Sus scrofa: one gene and its partners. The protein of the gene in region 3 interacts with the protein of the main gene of each other region in a biochemical or structural test. Links are inferred from orthologs where the notes say so. Each region holds a gene or a part of one and is shown on either strand. Other genes may lie near its edges.

What was found.
Region 1: the proteins of ERBB3 (region 3) and ABL2 form a complex in vitro, tested with the Homo sapiens proteins (2 studies listed by BioGRID and IntAct, with this or other methods). The link is inferred for Sus scrofa from reciprocal best matches to the Homo sapiens genes ERBB3 and ABL2.
Region 2: the proteins of ERBB3 (region 3) and tyrosine-protein kinase ZAP-70 form a complex in vitro, tested with the Homo sapiens proteins (2 studies listed by BioGRID and IntAct, with this or other methods). The link is inferred for Sus scrofa from reciprocal best matches to the Homo sapiens genes ERBB3 and ZAP70.

The regions. Positions count from the first base shown.
Region 1 is NC_010451.4:120,904,647-120,908,298, forward strand, and holds part of ABL2 (Abelson tyrosine-protein kinase 2), read right to left. Parts: intron 3,010-3,652; coding exon 2,925-3,009; intron 1,734-2,924; coding exon 1,556-1,733; intron 951-1,555; coding exon 766-950; intron 1-765. UniProt on the Homo sapiens protein: Non-receptor tyrosine-protein kinase that plays an ABL1-overlapping role in key processes linked to cell growth and survival such as cytoskeleton remodeling in response to extracellular stimuli, cell motility and adhesion and receptor endocytosis.
Region 2 is NC_010445.4:56,514,867-56,517,876, forward strand, and holds the end of tyrosine-protein kinase ZAP-70, read right to left. Parts: intron 3,009-3,010; coding exon 2,816-3,008; intron 2,727-2,815; coding exon 2,586-2,726; intron 2,488-2,585; coding exon 2,375-2,487; intron 1,038-2,374; coding exon 920-1,037; 3' UTR 583-919; downstream 1-582. UniProt on the Homo sapiens protein: Tyrosine kinase that plays an essential role in regulation of the adaptive immune response. Regulates motility, adhesion and cytokine expression of mature T-cells, as well as thymocyte development.
Region 3 is NC_010447.5:21,487,659-21,491,310, reverse strand, and holds part of ERBB3 (receptor tyrosine-protein kinase erbB-3), read right to left. Parts: intron 3,604-3,652; coding exon 3,550-3,603; intron 2,929-3,549; coding exon 2,787-2,928; intron 1,586-2,786; coding exon 1,466-1,585; intron 1,353-1,465; coding exon 1,254-1,352; intron 1,084-1,253; coding exon 898-1,083; intron 731-897; coding exon 575-730; intron 125-574; coding exon 49-124; intron 1-48. UniProt on the Homo sapiens protein: Tyrosine-protein kinase that plays an essential role as cell surface receptor for neuregulins.

The DNA of each region.
Region 1 (3,652 bases), on a different chromosome or scaffold from region 3:
ATGAGGGAAAAGTAAACTATGATAATATAAGAAGCCTGGGGCATAATCATCTATTCTTAGAGCAATTTATGATCTATTTCATAAAAGTTTCACAATTTTTAAGTCAGCTAATACTAGAGGAGTAATATAAAAATGGACTCAACTTAAAATCAGATAAAAATCACACTTGTAAAAAGAATTTCCTTGATTTTGTCACAAGTTATTCCTGAAATTGATATTTCTGATAAACAAGACCAAGAAAAAACAAAAAACAAAACCAAGAATTCTACAAGTATTTCTATTGGTCCACAATCCAAATTTCCTGACTTGTTCTATTTCCTGAGCCTCTGCTAAATCACATTGCTTTTCAGGGCAACAAAAACAAGATCAGTTACACAGACAAATTCTAGATGAAACTTCATTATGCCTTCCTTGAAAAGAGTTTGCTACTCTGTGTCACAGTGCTCTAGAAACAAGCAATAAAGCCTAATGTGGACAACAGGGAGCTTCATAGAGAGAGGATCATTGTTACTCCAGTGCAGTATAATACCTAGATTGTGAGTGCTCCGCAGGCAGAGACTTTTTTCTTTAACTTTCTTCTTTATAATTTCTTTCTATGGTAAGTGCCTAGCAGATACTAAGTATTTAATAAGTGCTTGCTGAATGACTAAAAGAAGGATGAATGTAAAGACAGAAGACATGATTATATAAAAGATAAGCTCTAAAGAATTTAGTATTTATTTATAAAGAAAATAACACACAGGAAAATGTTCCTTTCACTCTTACCCCAGACATCAGATTTAATTGAGAAGGTATTGTAGGCAAGACTCTCTGGTGCTGTCCATTTAATAGGAAATTTGGCTCCAGCATGAGCAGTATAGGTGTCTCCAGTCATCAATCTACTTAAGCCAAAGTCAGCCACTTTTACCACATGGTTTTCTCCCACGAGGCAGTTACGAGCTGCAAGATCTCTGTGGGAAAGAGAACTCTAAAATGTGATTCCATACAGGTGGTTGTAGAAAAAGATCATGAATGCTCTATTATCAGTTCCCTTACAGTTTGATAAGTGCTGACAGATATGGTAGTATTTTATGAAAATTACTAAGATGGTAGAAAGCCACTAATTATACATCACTTGTAGAATCCCCATCAAGAGGGAGTTATGTGATGCCAGAATAAAGCAGGCTTCAGAAAAGGGGTTCCTATTCACAAATACTTGGGATAGGCTTCAGAAGTGAGCAACAGATGCTCTTCTACACAGCTGTAAGTTCATTACTAGGACAGAAAGCTATTTTTAAAATTAAGCCACTAGATGGGGCAAAAGGATCTTGGATATAGTCCTGGGCAAAGTAAAGAGCTTTCTCTTCTGAGAATAACAAAGGCCTCGCATTAATACTTTAATCAGAGAACAGGAGGGTTTATAAATTGGCAATGTCATTACAATGGTGCCTGTAAAAGAGAAAATTCCTGAGTCATCTGAAAATTTTTGCTAAAATTCTCACATTCTTTCTTTTATTTGCATGTCAATCAAGAGAGCTTCATGGTTAATCATAAGCAATAACCAGGTTTTACACACCTATGGATGAAATTCTTCTTTTCTAAATACTCCATTGCAGAAGAAATCTGAGTGGCCATGTAAAGCAGTACAACTGCAGTTACCTCTTCTCGGTTGCATTCTCGGAGATAATCAAGCAGGTTCCCATAAGGCATGTACTCAGTCACAATGTAAAATGGTGGCTCCAAAGTACATACACCTGATAGTTCAAATACAGCTTGTTTTATTAGTATATATTCACACACTGCAAACCACTTTGGCAAGAAAAACTGACAATTTTTTAATGGCTACATCCATGGCATATAGAAGTTCCTGGACCAGGGACTGAATCTGCACCACAGCTGCAGCAACTCTAGATCCTTTAACCCACTGCGCAATGCCAGGAGCAGACTCTCACCTCCTCGGTGACCTGAGCTGCTGCAATCAGATTCCTAACCCACTGTGCCACAGCAGGAACTTCAAGAATAATTGACAATTTTTAAAGTCTAGTTCAGCAGTAATCTTTTCCCGTCTTGCCATCATATTCCCTAAAAATGATATAAGCTAGTTGATAAGGGACTCTGTTCTCATTCTATCATTCTCTGGAAATTCATATCCATTTTGAGTAAGTGCCTATTTGGCAAAAGCAGAGTTGCTTGTTCTAATTCCACACGGGGTCAGGACTACCAACACATCTAGAGTTCTGTACATGCCTACATAATCCCCATCCTCAACTGCATGCTGCCCATGTTTACCTAAAAGTAACAGCAACTGTGCATGTGGTAAAGCCTGTATGTGAGCCCGGTCTGTAATAATACTTTGTAAAAAGATTCTGACTATTTCCACAATCAAGGATTCCACTAACACATGGCAGATAACTTATCAAGAACCAAAAGAATCTATTTCCTTTGGGATGGTTTGGCTCAATTTGAACATCCAAAGAAACTGACCCTATTTTTTAAAAAGCAATGGTTTTAGTCAACGGTTTTTCTGTGACCCAAACACGTAAGATAGCAGTCTATTGATGGCACTTTCTGCTTGTAAAGGCAAACTGATGGATGGTCACAATTTTTAATCTGTTTATTTTCAGCAGTCCTTTGCTTAGTATCTCTTTATTTTGTAAAACTATTTTGTGACCGTTTTTGGTTTAGTATCACTTGGAATGATTTTGAACTTTGGATCCAGGGCAATTACCACAGGCTGTGCAGTTTCATATATACTGCAATCAATCCAGGTTACTGCTTCTTGGGTAATTTTTAAATACAGAGACTGCTGATTAAAGTCATTTAAAGAAGTAGATTTGTACTGGGAGCTTCCACCCACAGTGATTCAAAAGAAGGATTTGGAGTTAATAGGGGGTTGGGGGACAAGCATCTTTGAGGAAAGTTATGGTTCAGGAAAGCTCCCTTACCTAATAGTTGTACCAGATTAGGATGCTTGATTTCTTTCATCACTGCAGCTTCTTTTAGGAATTCCTCCACCTCCATAGTATCCTCCTAGAAAGGTGGAAAGATAAGAAAGAAAAAGAGGGCAGGGACAAGCCCCCATCTTAATCATTTGAGTCAACTCACAATCCTAAAATTTCAGAAAAGGGAATATCTTTTGACTATTTCAGCATTTACTTCAGGAAGTTTTATCACAACATAATATCCTCCAAGAAAAATGTCTACTTAAATTTATTCATTATTTTAAACTATACAAAATTTTGTGGGGTGGAGTAAAATTCATCAATCATGTCCTATCACAACTGAAAGGTACAGAACAGTCAGCTGTCTTCCTAACAAATTCCTTAAGGAGCAAGGCATGTTTGCAAGACTATGAATATTGTTTCACACACTCAGAAAAAGCACTCAATAAATACTTGCTAAAAAAACAAAAACAGACTACTATTGATAGGTGAAGAGCAGTCCTTACAAGTGACATGACAAAGCTATTGAGGCATATGAAAGAATCTTGAGAGAATGGAGTGAGTGACAAAATGTATAATTTGATACCAGGATGCTTAAAGGAGAGAAAGGGTAGCATCAGGAAAAAGATATCTGTGAACATTAAGAACAAGAAGTGGTCGGAGTTCCCGTGGTGGCTCAGCGGTTAATGAACCTGACTAGGTACCTATAAGGACGCGGCTCGTGATCCCTG
Region 2 (3,010 bases), on a different chromosome or scaffold from region 3:
GACTGGGCCCGATGTGGGCGTACCGGGCTGGGAAGGGCTGTCATAAGGGCAGGGCTGGCTGGGGAAGGGGCCTGCGTGAGGGCGGGGCCGGCTGCTGGAGGTGGACTGGCGTGGGGGCGGGGCTGGCGTGGGGGGCTGGGGGAGAGTCCTGAGTGGGGGCGGGGCTGACTGGGGTGGCACCTGTGGGGGCGGGGCAGACGTGGGCGCTGGGACCCGGCTGGGGGGGGGGCGGCGTGGGGGGAGGGGCGGGGGGCGGCGGGGGGAGGGGCGGGGGCGGCGGGGGGGAGGGCCGGTGGTGGGGAAGGCCGGCACGTGTTAAAAACCTCTCCAGGTGATGTTGACATGCCGCAGAACAGTCTGCACCTGCTTCAAGCCGACCAGGAGGGTAGGGTAGCCAAGGCCAGCAGTGCATGCAGCTCTTCGGCCCCACCCCACCTGCATGAAGATGCGCCCAGGGCGGAGATGGAAAACCAGCCCTCCGGCTCACACAGGGAAAGTTGCTTTCAGGCACTTCTCATGGACCCCTTCCCCAGCCCCTTTTCTGGTCCCAACCTCACCCCAGAAAAGATAAGGGATCCCAAACAAGAGAGAAGTTGAGTTTATTCCAATGACTGAGGTCTTGCCCCCTGAGGACCCCCAAAGTCTGCCCTTCAGGGCCCATAGGAAAAAGGGTCCTTGTTGTGAGCAACATCCCTTCAGCCCAGGCCCACCCTCCCTGCTGTCCTCCTTCCCCCAGCCAGAGAGGACAAGTGACCGGGTGGGGACTCCTAGACCAGTGTGGGCCTCAGGCCTGTCCCCCTTACCACAGTCCAGCTGGTGGGGGGAGAGAAACTGAGCTGAGCCCGGCCGGACTGAGGTCCCAGGAAGGAGCTGTGGGCACAGGAGGAGAAACTGGGGGATACAGGCCTCAGGCTGGAGCTCAGGCACAGGCGGCCTCCTTCCCCTCAGCTGCAGCGTCCTCGGCCTTAGTCGCCAAGCTGTAGTAGTAGGTGCGCATGCGCTGTTCCACGATTTGGAAGTCTGGACGCTCCTCCCACCTGTGAGGGGTGGGAAGATCCAGGCCACTGACCACAACCCCAGAACCCAATGTCAGTTAGTGGGCGGACGTACATGGAGCTCAGAAAGCAGTGGGGCTGGGGGCGGGGGTAACGGAGGGCTCTCTTGGGTGAGAGAGTAAGGTTGCTGTACCACCTTATAAAAGAGCTGATAACATTTAGGATTGGAGGAGGGAAGCACATATTAAGTGATGACTGGGAAGGGAGCTCATTGAATTTTGAGGTGACAGCCATTGACCACGGGGGGCTGGGATATTGATGCTAAAGTACTGAACATGTATATTTGGCCAGGGTATTTGGGTGCTAGGTGCCACCTCATACAGATGCAGGTACGCTGCCGGTAACAGAGCAGAACGCTGGAGTATTGATGGTTCCAGCCAGTGGAAAGTTGGGGTATTAATGGTACTGTGTGTAGCTTATCTTTGCGTTGTGTCAGAGTGTTCTAGCCTCTTCAGGCATTAGGGTGTTGGGGTTTTTATTTTTTCTTTTTCTACCCACACCTGATGCATATGGAAGTCCCCAGGTCAGGGACTCAATCTGAGCCACAGCTGTGGCAGCACCTGCTCCTTAACCCATGGCACCACAGCAGGAATTTCTGGGGATGTTTATTGAGCATTTCCTGATAGAGGCTGGATTAATACATGGTAGAGGAGGGATTGGCTGATCACTTATTCATTTATCATAAATAGGGTTTCTATTGCTTGGGTGTTCAGGTGTCCCTATGATGGGTGTTGGCCCCTAATAGATGTTGGGGCAGCAAAGGTATCAAATATTGGAGTGCCCACATTGCCTGATCAGTATAGGGTAAGAGCTTCGGTGCATGTTCCCTGTTGTCTGACGGAAGTGGAGATACTGATGGTGTTAGGAGTTTGGGTGTGCAACCACTGAGCTTTGAACAGACAGAAGTGAGGGGCATTGAGTATTTGGGTGCTTCTGTGTCGGCCTGTCTGGGTAGTGAGGTGTTGAATGTCGGCTGATAGGAAACAGGAATTATATAATGGCCCTGAGTTTCAGTATCACATTTTGGGTAAGAGCACTAACTTTTTTGAGTACTATAGGATCACTATGTTGAATGTTAGAGGTTTCAGATGCTGGATCACTGGGTGTCCACAGGTGGGTGTTGGGTGCTGGGCCACTGGAGCATGGCAGATCAGTGCATTGAAAGCTGAGCATAGACACAGGGGGACAAAAGGTCCTGAGTGTTGGAAAGGCCAGGAACTTGGTGATTCACTGGATGGGATGAGACACTGGTGGGATGACTACTGGGCATCATGACCTCCTGCCCCGGGCCCAGGTCCCCTCCCACCTCTGGGACTCACTTGTAGGTCCAGCAGTCGCTCATGAGTGTGTACATTTCAGGTGGACACTCTGGTGGGCACTCCATCCGCTTGCCCTGCTCAATGAAGGCCATGACCTCGGGGCCCTTCATCTTCTGCTCAAGCCAGAGCAAGGGCATGAGTGAGTAACCAGGGTCCCCCACCCCCGCCCCTCCTTTCCACCCAGCTATCGCCCGCCTCTGCCCATGCCTGCCTTGTAGGGCTTCTGGCCATAAGAGAAGGCCTCCCACATGGTGACCCCATAGCTCCAGACATCACTGCGGCTGGAGAACTTGCGGAAGTTGATGCACTCAGGCGCGTACCACTTGAGCGGCCACTTCCCTGCTGAGCGGGCCTGAGGGATGGGAGATGCTGCTGGGACAAGGCTCAGGGGTCCACCACCCACCCCCCACCTTCCTGGGCACTCCTGGGTCCGGGGCTCACAGTGTAGTAGCTGTCATCGGCACCCAGTGCCTTGGAGAGACCAAAGTCGCTGATCTTGGCATAGTGCCGGTTGACCAGCAGGACGTTGCGGGCCGCCAGGTCACGGTGCACAAAGTTCTTCTCCTCCAGGTACTTCATCCCCATGGACACCTGGTGCAGCAGCTCCGCCACGTTGCTGACAGGGATCTCCTCCCT
Region 3 (3,652 bases):
TTGAAATTTGGGCCAGTGATGGTATGGAGGGCATGCAGGGGGACTGACCATAGCTCCAGACGTCACTCTGGTGTGTGTATTTCCCAAAGTGGATACTCTCTAGGGCCATCCACTTAATTGGAGTCTGAGGGATTAAAGATAAAGGTGTCATCAGCTGATTTCCACACATGTTCTTAGATCCTTAACTACTAGGCCACCAGGGAACTCCTACACCCCTACCTCCTTACCAGCCTTTGCATCACTTTTTTTTTTTAAACTCTTGAGTATGTTTAAAACCACACACTTTTAACTTTTTATTACTTTTTTTTTGGGGGGGGTTAGGGCTGCACCTAGAACATATGGAAGTTCCCAGGCTAGGTAGGAGTCGAATCAGAGCAGCAGCTGCCAGCCTATACCACAGCCACAGCAACATAGGATGCGAGCCATGTCTGCCAACTACAACACAACTCACCACAACACTACACACTTAACTCACTAAGCAAAGGCCAGGGATCAAACCCACATCCTCATGGATACTATATTGGGTTCTTAACCTACTGAGCCACAACGGGAACTCTGCCTTTGCATCACTTACCTTGGCCTCACTGTGCAGTAGCTGCTTATCATCAGGGGGCAGCAAGTCAGCAACCCCAAAATCTGCCACCTGAACCTGACTGGGGGACTTCAGTAGCACATTTCGGGCAGCCAGGTTCCTGTGCACCATGCCATGCTCCTCAAGGTAGTACATTCCCTATAGGGAGAGGAAGTATATTCAGGGTTGAGGGAATTGGTCCTTGAGATCCAGAATCACCCCAAACCCTACGGCACCTCTCAGCACTTCAACCTCCTGGTCCCCTCCCTGCAGGCCCCCAGTTAGGCAGTTTCATCACAGAACTCCTCAAGGCTCCTCTCACTCACCTTGGCAATTTGTACTCCCCAGTTGAGCAGCAGCTGTGGCCCCAGTACCCCCCGGTGTTGTCTCACATGATCCAGCAGGGAGCCCAGAGGCAAGTACTGCGTGACAAGCTGCAGAGATGACCCTGGGCACAGTCCCAGCAGCCGTACAATGTGGGCGTGGTCGAGGCTGCCAATGGCCAGCATATGCTAAGAGACACAGAAGGTTATCCTGGAAACAAGCAGGTTCACACATACCCAGGCCAGGGCTCCCCCAGCATTCAAGGACGCCACCATGGCTAACACAGTATCTGCTAACACAAGACCATGCTTCTAATACCCTGTCGTAGTGGCACACAGAACACCCTGCCTTCACTTACATCCGTCACAGCTTGAAAACTCTGCCGTCCGCTCTTGTCCTCAATGACTTTAATGCAGACGGGAATCTTGATGGATTCACCCTCAGGAATCCACACTCCCTGGGAAGTTTTGGGCAGGAGTCAGCCTGAGGTCATCCTCCCCTCCCTCAGTCTTTCTCCCCTTTGCCCTAGATCCCTTCCCCACCTCCCCAGACTTCCTGTGAGCCACTCACTTTGTGCACAGTTCCGAAGACCCCTGAGCCCAGCATTTTAAGCTTCCTCAGCTCTGTTTCTTTGAAGACTCTGGCCAAGACTTTGTTAGCCTTCTCACTGGGATCCAGAGGCTCTATGCTCTGAAGAGCAGATGGGACACAGCCTTGTAAATCAACTATACTTCAATAAAACTTTAAATTTTTAAAAAAATTTTTAAAAAAGCAGATTTAAAAAAAAAAAAGAGCAGATGGGAAAGAGGGACTCAGGAAAACCCGCTCCCCTGTCCCTCTCCAGCCCCTCCTCATAGGTGGATGCCAAGAGCAGCAAAGCCCAGGGGGGTGGGAGCAGGAGGAAGAATGTCTCCAGCCTTGGAAAGCATTGCAGACCCTGAGGGCTGAGGAAGTTGTTTGTGTTCATGAGATCAGAAACCTAGAGGGTTTTGCTTTCCCTTTGATGGGCTTTGTAGGGGAGAGAGTTGGTAATACCGTCACCTTAAGCACTTTTATACAATTCCGATTTTCAAAGCACTTTCACCCCTACGGCCATCCTTAAGGATGAATTTTTTTTTTTTTTTTTTTTGCTTTTATTTTAGGACTGCACCTGCGGAGCATGGAAGTTCCCAGGCTAGGGGTCAAATTGGAGCTACAGCTGTCGCCCACACCACAGTGACAGTGACGCCTGATCTGAGCCATATCTGTGACCTACACCACAGCTCAAGGCAACACTGGATACTCAACCCACTGAGTGAGGCCAGGGATCGAACCTGCTTCCACATGGATACTGGTCGGGTTCCTTACCACTAAGCCATAACGGTAACTCCAGGATGAATGTTCTAGTTTCCTCTGTATCAATTGAGGCTCAGAGAAGGAAGGTAACTTTTTCAGTCAGGTGGTGAATTAATGGCAAAATCAGGACTAGAACTCATGTCTCCCATTTCTCTGGCCAGAGTCCTTTCTTTTCCTTTTTTTTTTTTTTTTTTTTGCCTTTTCTAGGGCCACACCCGTGGCATATGAAGGTTCCCAGGCTAGGGGTCCAATCAGAGCTGTAGCCACTGGCCTACACCAGAGCCACAGCAATGCGGGATCCGAGCTGCGTCTGCGACCTGCAGCAAAGCTCACGGCAACACCAGATCCTTAACCCACTGAGCAACGCCAGGGATGGAACCCGAAACCTCATGGTTCCTAGTCGGATTCCTTAACCACTGAGCCACGACGGGAACTCCCAGAATCCTTTCTAGTGGACCATACTACCTCCTTGAAGGGATCAAATCTCTAGGGAAGAAAGAGGCTCTTAAAAGGGTGATGGCATAGGATACATTTCAAGAGTCAGCTAGGCACTTACCTCACCCCGTTCCAAGTAGCGCCTCATAGCCCTCTTATTCTGAATTCGGCGCCCACGCCAATACAGAAAAGTGCTGCCCAGGATCAGGAAAACCACTGCCAGTCCTACTACCATTGTTAAAGCCATTGCCAGGTGGGTTTTGCTGTGGGACAGAGAAGCCCAGCATTACCCTGGTCCAAACTTCCCTTACAAACGTCATCTGTACCAGTACTAAAGGTATGGCACAGATCTGAGGCAAAAAGTTAACACTTGTTTTTTGGTGTTTTTTCTTTTTTTTTTTAAGGGCTGCACATGCGGCATATGGGAGTTCCCAGGCTAGGGGTTAAATCAGAGCTACAGCTGCCAGCCTATGCCATAGCCACAGCAACATCAGATCTGAGCCGCGTCTGTGACCTACACCACAGTTCACGGCAAGGACAGATCCTTAACCCACTGAACGAGGCCAGGGATCGAACCCAAATCCTCATGGATACTAGTCAGATTTGTTACCACTGAGCCATGACGTGAACTCCAAAGTTAACACTTACATCCTTGAGCACTGAAGGGGTTAACCTAAATCTCCACCCCCACCCCACCCCACCCCCTGGACTACTGCAGGTTAATTTTAGGAAGGGAAGGCCAGAAGCCTGGATTCTTATGTCCCTGAGTCCAGTGACAGTAGCTGTATATAGAAGGCCAGAATGAACAGAGACTCAACTCTCCCCAGGAGGTAACCGCCCTCCCTCAAATATTCCCAGCTCCCTAATCTCCAAACCCATCATACCTCATCAGTGGCAGTGCTTGGCCTAAACAGTCTTGTAGCTCTGGTCCCTTACACCTGGAGAAGAAAGTCACCTCCCTAAGTGGGAGCTTGGGAGCCTCCCATG